Danio rerio: one gene and its partners. The protein of the gene in region 1 binds, or shares a complex with, the protein of each later gene. Links are inferred from orthologs where the notes say so. Each region holds a gene or a part of one and is shown on either strand. Other genes may lie near its edges. The genes, in order: gtf2f1, polr2k and gtf2a1.

Region 1 (3,658 bases):
GCATTTGATAAAACTTGATTAAAATTATTAGTACAGTTTATTATATATTTTTTTGAAATAATGTTCTTTCTAATCAGTGTCTTTCATGTCTTTTGTTTTGCTATTTAATGATTAAATCAGTTGATTGACCAAACCATTAAAATGAAAAAAAAAAAACATTTAACATTTAACGTCTTTCCTGGTTATTTTTAAAATTGTTTATCATCTATTGAAGTTAAAAATACTATTTTGCTGGAGAAAACGAGGACATCAAAAGGCGAGTCATTATCACATTTTCTGGGACTGCTCTGTTATTAAAAAATATTGGAAAGAAATACACAATGCATTACCATTACCAAAAAATGGTTGTCACAAAAGTCCCACACTAAATACAAGGATGGAAATTACAATGGATATTTCTTAAATGTAGCAAATACTGCATTTGTGAATCAGAAAATGGAACAATTTATTTCAATCTTGGAAAATGGACCAATTATGCAACATCCCTTAAACTGAACTTTTCCGTTAACTTAAAATCGAAAGGATCAATTCCTACCTGTACAGTTTTGTTGCTGATATGCATGTATATATTTTTTGTATTTATTTATTTTTACTTGTTTGTCTCCCCCCTTCTTTTTTTTTGTTTAATCTATTTATTATTATTTTTATAACAGTTTACATGTGCACAAAAGTAAAAGCATACATTGCTTAAAGAGAAAATGGATGCATATATATCGTTTAATTTGTGAGTGTATTCAGATGTAAGATATCTGACATGTATCTGTAAGTGAAAAACTATTTGAGACAATTAAAAAAATTAATTTAAAAATCTATTCATTATTTTCAAAATTTTCTCTTATTGAAAATTGTAATTCTTATAAATATTAGTCTTGCCATTAAAAAGCCATCCACTTTTAAGGTGGCAATAAAAAACTAAATCTGAATAAAATGTGCTCGTGACTAATTAAAACCATCGCAACCAGTCGTGCTGACACAATGAGCTGATTTCGGATTTGTTGTTGGTGTTTAATTGCATTTAAAGTGTGTTATTATTTGTTTAGATCTTGTTTTACTGCTGTTTTCTTTCTCTTTGCCACTCAGATTTAAGGGTATAAAAAAAGGGGGCGTTACAGAGAATGCGTCCTACTACATCTTCACACAGAGTGCCGATGGTGCTTTTGAGGCATTTCCCGTGCACGCCTGGTATAACTTCACACCACAGGCCAAACACCGCACGCTCACAGCTGAGGAAGCAGAGGAAGAGTGGGGCAGGTGAGGGCAAACCTGATTTCTCTTCTGCATTACAAGCTTGCAGTTTGATGATTGCAGCTCATTATTTTTCATTTAGGAGAAACAAAGTGGTGAACCACTTCAGTATCATGCTCCAGCGGCGTTTAAGAGAACAGGAGCGAGGAGGAGGAGATGAGGATGAGGAGGAAGGAGAAAAAGGCGCAAAGAAAAAGAAGAAGGGAGGCAGAGGAGGTGACCTGCGAATTCATGACCTCGAGGAAGATTTGGAAATGAGCAGCGATGAAAGTGATGGCAGCAATGGAGATGGTGAGGGTGAGCAAAAGGGTCAGAGAGGAACATGAGTGTGCCTTATCATGCTTTTTATTTAAAGATCAAAGTACATAATGAATATTCAGTAATCAACATTTGATTTTGAATGGTTGTTGTTGAATAATTTTAGGACAACTTTGATGAAAGGTTTTGATTTGTTTCAGATGTTGACTACTTTAGTTGTCTCTTAACAAAAGAGTGAGTTCTAAACCACTCATTCCAATTTAATTTCTCTTATCAATACATATTGATATGCAACATGCTTGTGTTACCAGTCTATCTTTTTCATGGGCTGCCTGCCAACAGCATTTTGACCCTCCAACACAGTGGCTTGTTCATATCAACATCATGTCTAGAAGCGTTTTTTGTCAATGTCACCAAAACAGCTAAATCTACTGTTTGCTTCATATCTGCGCTTTGTTGTTATTTTTTCTGAGAGAAATCATGAGTATGAAGTGCAATGTAGGGCTAAATCAAGTTTCACACAATCATAAGTGAAGAAGCTGCATACACAAGGTGTCCACAGATTTTTAAAGTCTTAAATTCCATAGTGCAAAGATAAGGCCTTAATTAGTATTTAAATTGTCTTAAATCTGCATCTTAAAAATGAAATCAAACCAACCTCATAAAGAAGACATTGTTTCAGTTTTCTATCTAATTTTCACCCTGAACTAAATATGCAGGACACAATAAAGTAAACCCTCATGGGTATTTCACTTACACAAGCAAATTTTGTGGGGATTTCACTCTATTATAGCTTTTTATCACGGCTGAAAGAAACCTGTCATGATTTTCTTGAACAATATTGCGATTTCAATTTTAATCACGTTTTTGACACACACAGGCGTTATACAGTGTGAATGTGAAATGTAATTCCAAAGGAAATTTATTAAATCTTTCTTTATAAAGACTGTAACGTCTCCAAAACAGACATAAAGCAAAAAAAAAAAAAAAACACCTACTGAAGGTCTAATAAATTGTCTCTAGATAAAACAAATAAATAGACTAGTGTTTGTGCGTACGTGCGTGTGCGCACACACGCTTTCAAACGATGTTCTGTTTGACCACATATCAGAAGTAGTTATGTGTACTTTTGTATGTGTCCACAAATTTATTTTTGCCATGCATAGCTCTTAAATCTCTTTGTGATGCTGCCGTGAAATGGGCCATTCACATATTGCATCTTTTGCATAAGTTAGTTATTTCCAATGGAGGTGCCCAGCTTACACGTATATTGGGAGTGAAGCATGTATTCCATGCACACGCAGTTGAAAACATCTCCACTTTTGAGAATGCTGCACTGCGAGTCACGTAACAAGAACTGACATACAAGTGACATGCCTTCCCCTTTCCATATGCTATAAGATGCAATATTTGACTGAGAGGTCTTATGAATTACCTGATTCTGTGATACATCAGTCTTCCTCTATCCAAAGTAATCCCACACCCCAGATGTTGACTTTTTTTGGGCACCAAGCCCTCCTGTGCTGAACTCATAATCCCTGTTATGCAGTTTATTTGTCATTAATCTCAATCACCTGTTCTCGCGCTCTGTTTAGGCGTGCTACATTATGATTGGTTCAAACAGCATAATGTGGGAAAATCTGTAAAGCGATTTAGATATCACGTGTGTTCAAATCAGGATTTTGATACGATTTCAATTAATCCCACATCTCTACTTTCTATAAATAATAAAGAGTGTTTCTGGCTCAATACTATTAGTAAAATCTATCAGCATAGTCTACTGTATACAATTTTCAACGTTCTGTTAAATGTGTTACCTGTGCAAGCAGTAGCCTGTCACAGGGTACTAGACCATGTGACCAATCAGAAGAGGCTCTTGGAAAGAGGGGTTTAGAAACGATAAATCAAATGAATGATTTGAGCTCTGTGAGAAATTAGATCAATTTAAATTTAAGCATATTTTGAGAAAATAGAGGCCTTTTGTGAGTGTTTTTGAATGTGGCTGCTTGTAAACTAATTGTAGGAGATCTTTAAATTAATGTGAAAAACATTTTACATGGCATAATAGGGGCAGTTTAAAAAAATATCTTCTTTTATTGCAGATGATGAAGCCAAGGCAAAAGCTAAAAAGGAAAAAGGTGCCAAAGGCAAGGGA
Region 2 (3,758 bases), on another chromosome or scaffold:
TTGTAATAAAAGCGAGTCAATTAGCAAAGGGGAACTCAACTTAGTTTAATTTTATTTTGAACAACAATATAAAACGTCCAAATTTATAAGTTGGGAGACCTAAAAATGTGAGAATGTACAAAAGCGCTGCTAATAGGAAGTCTTATTTGTTGTTTATTATCTATTGTATAACTGTAATGTTACTGACGGAACCATTTTGATTACAATACAATCATTCTAGACATTCAACATAAAAACAAAACATGAATATCTTTCTGAGATGTCTTTTGGGGATAGTTTCTGAATATTGCTGCCCTCAATAGTTACAATGCATACACCTGTTGATAACTATGGAATATTAAATAATTTAAATATGTTATTACATTTCATAAACCGTTTTAATTACTTGTGCTTACACTTGATTTAGTTATTAATGGCCAACATGTGTCCTGTGGATTTGAATTACCTTCAAATGCAAAGTATATCTATCTTTTGCTCTAAAAATGAACATTAGTTTTAAAAAATCATAATAATATTTAAGGAATTAGCAGTATTTCAGTATTATTGAAACAGTAACAAAACATTTCAGTATATCAAAAAGATAAACAGCTATCAATAATTAGTAACTCTATTAATATGAATAAATGACAATTGGCTGGATCAGCTTGTTCTGACATATACCTTCGTTATAAACACATTATAAATGGGAATGTTGATATGTATTAAACACATTGCCGAGAAACAGAAACTGAAAGGGTGAGGCGGGATTACGACTGCCAGTAAAAAAAAAACACATTACAAACATAAATACTAACAGTGTACAGACTATCTGGTTATACCTATAAAACATATAATAGTATATAATACTGACAGTAAAGTTTTGCAAACTTACCCGAGAGCTGAACGTTTAACGTTACTGGCAGTTTTTGCAGCTGCGACTCACTAACGTTACTTCCTGCTCTGAGACCGTCAACAACACCGACAAATCAAGTGACAATGTACGAAACACATTTCACTCATACAAAAAATCAAATAATAATTATTCATTAATAATAACACATTTCTGTTAGTAAATAAATGTGTTTAGACTGTTTCACAATTTCAGGACAGGTTTAATAACAGCGTTACACATGAATTAATATAAACCATTAGCGTTAAACAAAAAAGTACACAAATAATACGTCTTCATGGTTACGTACGTCTGTCACTAAATGAATGTTTAAAAACGTCGCCGCGAAGTTTTTCTCCGCCATCTGAAATTGCTGGCAGTAATAAAATAAAAGTCCCAGATGAACCTGTAAGTCTCTGCGTAAAATGGTAATGTCCTCCCTCCTGGCGGCGTATGACGAGATTGGTTCAATTCTTGCCAACCAATAGCATTGTTCGTTACTGTGATGTGATGTCGCTTGTGCGCATGCGTGAACGAAAAACGTTTCGAAGCAAACAGAGAGCTCACGCGTGAAAGGTAGCTAATGCTTTGAATGTTTACATTTCGTACTCGTTTGTACACTGATAAATGACAGGATGAATGATATGTGCGGGGTTTTATTGCAATTTTAATATGATGAATTACGTGTCTTGTTGGGTTTATAATGGAAGAACGTGTTTGTGCATAGTGCAGCATCTCTTAAATGTGCTCTTACGATAGGTTTAGGTCAAATAATGTGTAATATTCTAATGAATTTATTCAATTTAGACTATATAATCATGTTTGTGTGTTTGCTTTAAGCCATGGATTCTCAGAAAGACATTCAGCCCCCCAAACAACAGCCAATGATCTACATTTGTGGAGGTGATTGCTCTTTTGATTGTATTTATGTTTATAATCTATATGTATATTGATCTATTAGAAGGTTTATGTATTGATTATATTTTTGTAATCAGTCATTTCTTTCTTAATGCTAAACAATCAAGATGTTCACAATCTAGTCTGTTTTTGAGCTTGAAATTTTGTGTGTGTGTGTGTGTGTGTGTGTGTGTTTGTTTCAGAGTGTCACACAGAAAACGAGATCAAGGCCAGAGACCCCATCAGATGCAGAGAGTGTGGTTACAGGATCATGTACAAAAAGAGGACCAAAAGATGTATCCTTTATCAACTAAACCAATGCTTTGTGGTAGGCCTGGTTGATACGACAAAAAAAGTTGATTAAATTAATTTCACGCTATAATCCTCTCATTTGCTAATAATGAGATATGTCATGATATAGTAACTAGGGATACAACAATACAGTTAGCCTTAGTAAGAGGTTAAGGAGAAAAAACTTATTGCAATACTTCTTTATTTTACTTGATAGCCAAGAAAAGTACACTAGTTTGTAGTTTAATGTATAATAAAAGTAAATTAACTGAAATCTCACAGCTGCTGGTAGCTTATGTACAAACTGGGGAACACGTATATTCCTACATTTTGAAAATACACATACATGTGAAAAATAATTTCAAATAAACATATTTGATGTAATTTTAAGCTCTGGATGTTTATTAGTTTTACATTTTCTAAATGCATATTGTGTCACTGTTTTGGAGCACACTAGCTAATAGGATTGGGCGATGTTGACCAATTTGCCATCATATGATGTATAATGTGAAACAAAGTAATGGACGATAACATCGTTATTGTAGGCGTCAGTGAATTAATTATTAATTCATAACGGATTAATTATTTGTAGCCCATGTTTCAACTACCTGACCCACAAGGTCTTTGTTTTACCCATAACCAAATCAAAAATAAATAAAGTTGCACACAAATTACCACCTTTCAATCACTTTTTCCATTGGACTCTGGCATGAATAGGCCAATAGAGTGATCTGTGTCTTTACAATGACATTGACAAACTTGGTTGGGAAAAAAAGGTGCACAACCAACCAACTGTATCTGAGGTTTTCACTAAAATTACTAAGTATAAGCATGAAAGCGAAACACCGAAGCAGTGTACTGATGCTGTGACACATTACCTGATAGATTCAAAAGACCAAAATGTCTGAAGCTCTGATACGAATGTATACTGCAGGCATAACAGTGTGCATTTTCATCGATATCGAGTGGAAGGAAGGCTTTTCAGAAATGCTAGATGAAACGCCTGTGTGGACGTAGGTCGCTTTTGTTCTAAAATGCCATTTTAAAACTAAGATGTATTAAGGCTGATTTATACTTCTGGGTCAAACACCGGCGTATGCTACGGCGCTGACGCATAGCCCTTCGCCGTGGCCATCGCCGTCACTGACGTGCACCTCTCAAAAAATGTAACTACACATCGCAACAACGCGTAGCGCAAGCTCTGTGATTGGTCGGCTTGGTAGCGCTGACGAGTCTGGGCGGGACCGAGAGCTGCGCGAATGGCGCGACGCCGCGCGAGCGATTGTTTACAAGTGTGGAGTCCCGTGATGGAGCTCCGGATGGAAAGTTTTGTTTTGTGTTTACCTTATAGTTAAAGTTGTTGCACGTCCGCCGGTTCCTGCCTTAAAATGAGCGAGTTTGAGCCACTTGTACATCCCAGAAGTGTTCAGGAAATGCAAAAAAGTAGCGAAGAAACTCAACACAGAGGAACATTTACACCTCACTGCCAACTAGCGTTTCGGAAGTGTTAATGCAAACCGACAGAGACAGCGCGCAGAAGTATAAATGCACAGCCACGCGCGTTGCCTGCGCCGTGGGTTACGCCGGTCACCTGACGCAGAAGTATGAATCAGGCTTTAGTGTAAACGGGGCCTAAGTGTGTATTTTTCACAAACGGATTGCTGCTACGGTGGGGTGGAGGTTAGCGATGCCAGCTCAGCAT
Region 3 (3,658 bases), on another chromosome or scaffold:
AAAACATTCAGAATTCTTTATTAAACCATATTGCAATATTACTGTGATGCTGAAGTAACACAATTGCTGGGCACAGAGCCTCTGGATCTAAACCTGAACTCATCTGGTTTAGTCCAGTCATAATTTGTCTTTAAATAATCTGTCTTTATTTCAGGAGCCGTTAAACAGTGGTGATGATGTCAGTGATGAGGAAGATCAGGAGCTCTTCGACACAGAGAACGTAGTGGTTTGCCAGTATGACAAAGTGAGTGTTTGCTTATCACATATCTTTAATCTGTTTTGATAGCTTGCACACATTTATATTCTTACATTAATTAATTTAAGTGCAAAAACTATTAGAAAATCTATCAAATATTTGGCATATATGTTTATATAGAAATTATAACCCTAAGTCCTTAAAGCAGGGGTGTCAAACTCATTTTAGATCAGTTTTCAAGTGTGCCGGACCCCTGGGGGGGGCCTCCTTTTACAAATAGTACATTTTCATACGACTGAACTTATACAGAACTAAACTTACAAAATGTGAAATAGTTACATTTCCTCGTAAGATCAGCTCTGTGCAGGGCTTCCCACAGGTTTAAAATATACTTGCAGTGGTAGCCTGATTGGAAAAAACCCTTTTCCCCACAGCACATAAATGGTCAACATCATGTGACAAACAAAAAATAATGTGCTTTTTACCTTGATTTTTATTTAGAATGACACTGTCATACACCTTTTCTTTTCAGTGGGTTAAAGTTATTAAATTAATAAAACATGCAGCAAATGAGAAATTAATTTAAATAAATAAAATAGACATTATTGCAAAAAATTATAATAACTACTAGAATAAAAAGTGTAGATTATTTAAATAAGGCAAATTACTTGATTAACCATTTCTAGTGGTGTACAAATATTTTGCAGCCATTATAGATGGCATTTTGTTCTCTCCGAGTATAAAGTTTATCTGAGACATTTATTATGTGAATAATCATTTAATGTTTCTCTCGCGGCTGTGCGCGCACATTCATTCAGCTGCGAAATGGTAATGCAAAAACGCATACAAATAATGACAACTTTAAAATGCGAAAGTAAAACCTGAATCCTGGACATTTTACGAGACTTAAACTATGGTCGGATGCATTTTGACGGAAAAGGCGCGTCTCAGTGGGTCTGCTGAGCATGTGAGTTTCTGTGTAAGTGACAGATTGCGCACACAGAAAACCAGCATTAGGAAACGTGCAGAGCAGGGGAAGATTTTCCATTTTCAGGACCTGTTTAACATGTTTTAAATCTCTTTGACTTTCATTTTTCTGTTAAAAACAGAGGATCGTTTAAAAAAAGCTGGAAACCTGTAACCCTTGATTTCTATGTTTTTTTTTTTTTTATGGTCAATGGTTATAGGTTTTCAGCTTTCTTCAATGTCATCTTTTGTGTTCAACACAAGAAACTCGAAAGGTGTAGAGCCACTTTAAAGTGAGTTAAGTTTTTTTTTTTTTTTTTTTGAGTGAATTATCGCTGTCAACACTATGGCATATTACATTATTGAAAATGTTCAATTGACAAACTTTTGGATTGCATGATTTTATTAGCAAGATTAGTCATTGCACAGTGAAAAGTCTTTTTGCCCTTTTCTGTAAATATTGACAAATTTCTGATCCTCCGATTGTCAAATATGAGATAGAATGGTGCTGCTGTTGTTGCTAGAAAGGATACTGCTGCGATCGGACGTTAACGAGAAGTATTTATATTTATTAAATTCCGCATTGAGTGCAGTTTATTAGCTAGATGGGATACAGCTGAGTATACTCATCAATATAGCGTAATCTAATACAATTGTATTTTATTAGATTATGCTATATTGAGTATCCTCTGCTGTATCCCATCTAGACTTCACCATGCTGCAGGAGAGGGTGAAGTCTAGATGGGATTCAGCTGTGTAAACTTGTTTCAATATAGCTTAATTTTGACACTGTACAACAAATACTATTTTACATTAACTTTACAAACTTTGAGGTTTGGGTCTAGGGTTGAGAGGGGTAGACGCTAATAAAATACAATTAATACATTGTGTGATTTGATAAATAATATTAACACTTCTCGTTAACTTCCGATCGCTGCTGGATTTGTCATGTTTATTAATAATTTTCTGCCAAGAAAATATTCTAGTAATGTAAACAGTTTGTATCTTAGGTGAATAAAGCACATCGTCCAGTTATATTGAAATATAATTATTATTGCCGTCTTCATAGACATCCACGTCTATTTTACAAACTTTACTTGGTTTGTTTTGCTTGTAATTATGTGTATTTGAATGTCTGAAACCTAAAAGAAATGTTATTTGTTTGAAAGCACAGGTAAATTGTGATTTATAATTAGTGCTGCGCTCCTTTTCCAGTGCTATAGCACCCGCCATCAGATTTAAATTTTAGCAGTCACACCGGTGTGATCATACGCATGAAAGGGTTGAAATCACTGTCCAAAAGTCCCTGAAATTTATTTTTGTTTTTCTTAATCTATGCTTCAGATTCACAGAAGTAAGAACAAGTGGAAATTTCACCTGAAGGATGGCATCATGAATCTGAACGGACGGGATTTTGTGTTCTCCAAAGCCATCGGAGACGCCGAGTGGTAAAAAGCGGGAAAGACAAGAGAACAAAAAACCCAAAAACTGCCTACTTTTTAAGGCAAGACACATCGAGACCTGAAACTGTACATTTCAGGAGATTCCCCACTTGGGGTGCTGAAGAGTAACGTCCCAATGCTACTGTGCTGTTTGAGTGATTTCTGCACACAAATAACTTGTGCCATCCATGAGATTTCTTTTTCTTTTCCCCTTCTTTTTTAAAAAGACTACTCTTTTACCTGTAAAAAAAAAAAAAAAACTCAGTCCATAATATCTCCTTTCCAAAAACATCTACGCCCCCTCAGATGAAAATGTTAGGCGCAGGGAGCCGATTTTAGCGTCAGACGCCATCTTAAGTAAACAGATTTGTCAACAGCCTTTTCACAGCAATCGTACGTGTTTGGTGATTTCCGTAAATCTGAATCCTGTGTAAAGCGAATCACTATTGGTCGCCTCATACAAACACTAAAACAATCCAGCAAGAGCTGCGTTCCAACAATTCCCATTAATAGATGCCATGTTTTTAGACCTTTGTATGTTCAGCAAAAGAGATACCAATGAAAGCAGGCAAGTTGAGCGCAAGTTGTCGATCTCACAAAGCTGTTTGCGTGTTTATGTCTGTCATGGGTTTTTCTAACTCTGCTCTGTCAGTCTGATGCATGTTTTTGGGAGTTGATGCATCACAGGGTGCTTTGGTGTGTTTTGTGTGCAATCTTCTGCGTTTGGTGTCTATGAAGTGCTCCATCAGGCCGCCCTTCCTACTTTCCTCCCAGTCAGGCTTATTTTACGCATTTCTAGTCGTTCGTATTTATTCCCGAAGCTCAGGCAGCGTTCATATTTCGGGGGGGAAAAGACACCGAACTGTGCTCTTAATGAAAGAAGTGCTCCTTTTTGGCCCTGAGGAGGATTTCCGCATGTGGTTCTGTGCATTGTGGAGTTACCCTAGGGTTTGTTTTAGTCCCTCCGTACTTGTTTTATCTTGCGTAGTCTGACTTTTTAAAGCCGTGCCCTCATACAGTTTGAAATTCGTAATGTTCTGTGTCTGAGGAAAAT

Evidence for each region.
Region 2: gtf2f1 (region 1) and polr2k share a complex: the UniProt entries of both Homo sapiens proteins name them as parts of the TBP-based Pol II pre-initiation complex. The link is inferred for Danio rerio from reciprocal best matches to the Homo sapiens genes GTF2F1 and POLR2K.
Region 3: gtf2f1 (region 1) and gtf2a1 share a complex: the UniProt entries of both Homo sapiens proteins name them as parts of the TBP-based Pol II pre-initiation complex. The link is inferred for Danio rerio from reciprocal best matches to the Homo sapiens genes GTF2F1 and GTF2A1.

The regions. Positions count from the first base shown.
Region 1 is NC_133178.1:32,757,229-32,760,886, reverse strand, and holds part of gtf2f1 (general transcription factor IIF subunit 1), read left to right. Parts: intron 1-1,080; coding exon 1,081-1,251; intron 1,252-1,327; coding exon 1,328-1,542; intron 1,543-3,605; coding exon 3,606-3,658. UniProt on the Homo sapiens protein: TFIIF is a general transcription initiation factor that binds to RNA polymerase II and helps to recruit it to the initiation complex in collaboration with TFIIB. It promotes transcription elongation.
Region 2 is NC_133194.1:13,081,005-13,084,762, forward strand, and holds the start of polr2k (DNA-directed RNA polymerases I, II, and III subunit RPABC4), read left to right. Parts: upstream 1-1,364; 5' UTR 1,365-1,444; intron 1,445-1,708; 5' UTR 1,709-1,710; coding exon 1,711-1,771; intron 1,772-1,968; coding exon 1,969-2,061; intron 2,062-3,758. UniProt on the Homo sapiens protein: DNA-dependent RNA polymerase catalyzes the transcription of DNA into RNA using the four ribonucleoside triphosphates as substrates.
Region 3 is NC_133195.1:17,659,192-17,662,849, reverse strand, and holds part of gtf2a1 (transcription initiation factor IIA subunit 1), read left to right. Parts: intron 1-154; coding exon 155-244; intron 245-2,506; coding exon 2,507-2,614; 3' UTR 2,615-3,658. UniProt on the Homo sapiens protein: TFIIA is a component of the transcription machinery of RNA polymerase II and plays an important role in transcriptional activation. TFIIA in a complex with TBP mediates transcriptional activity.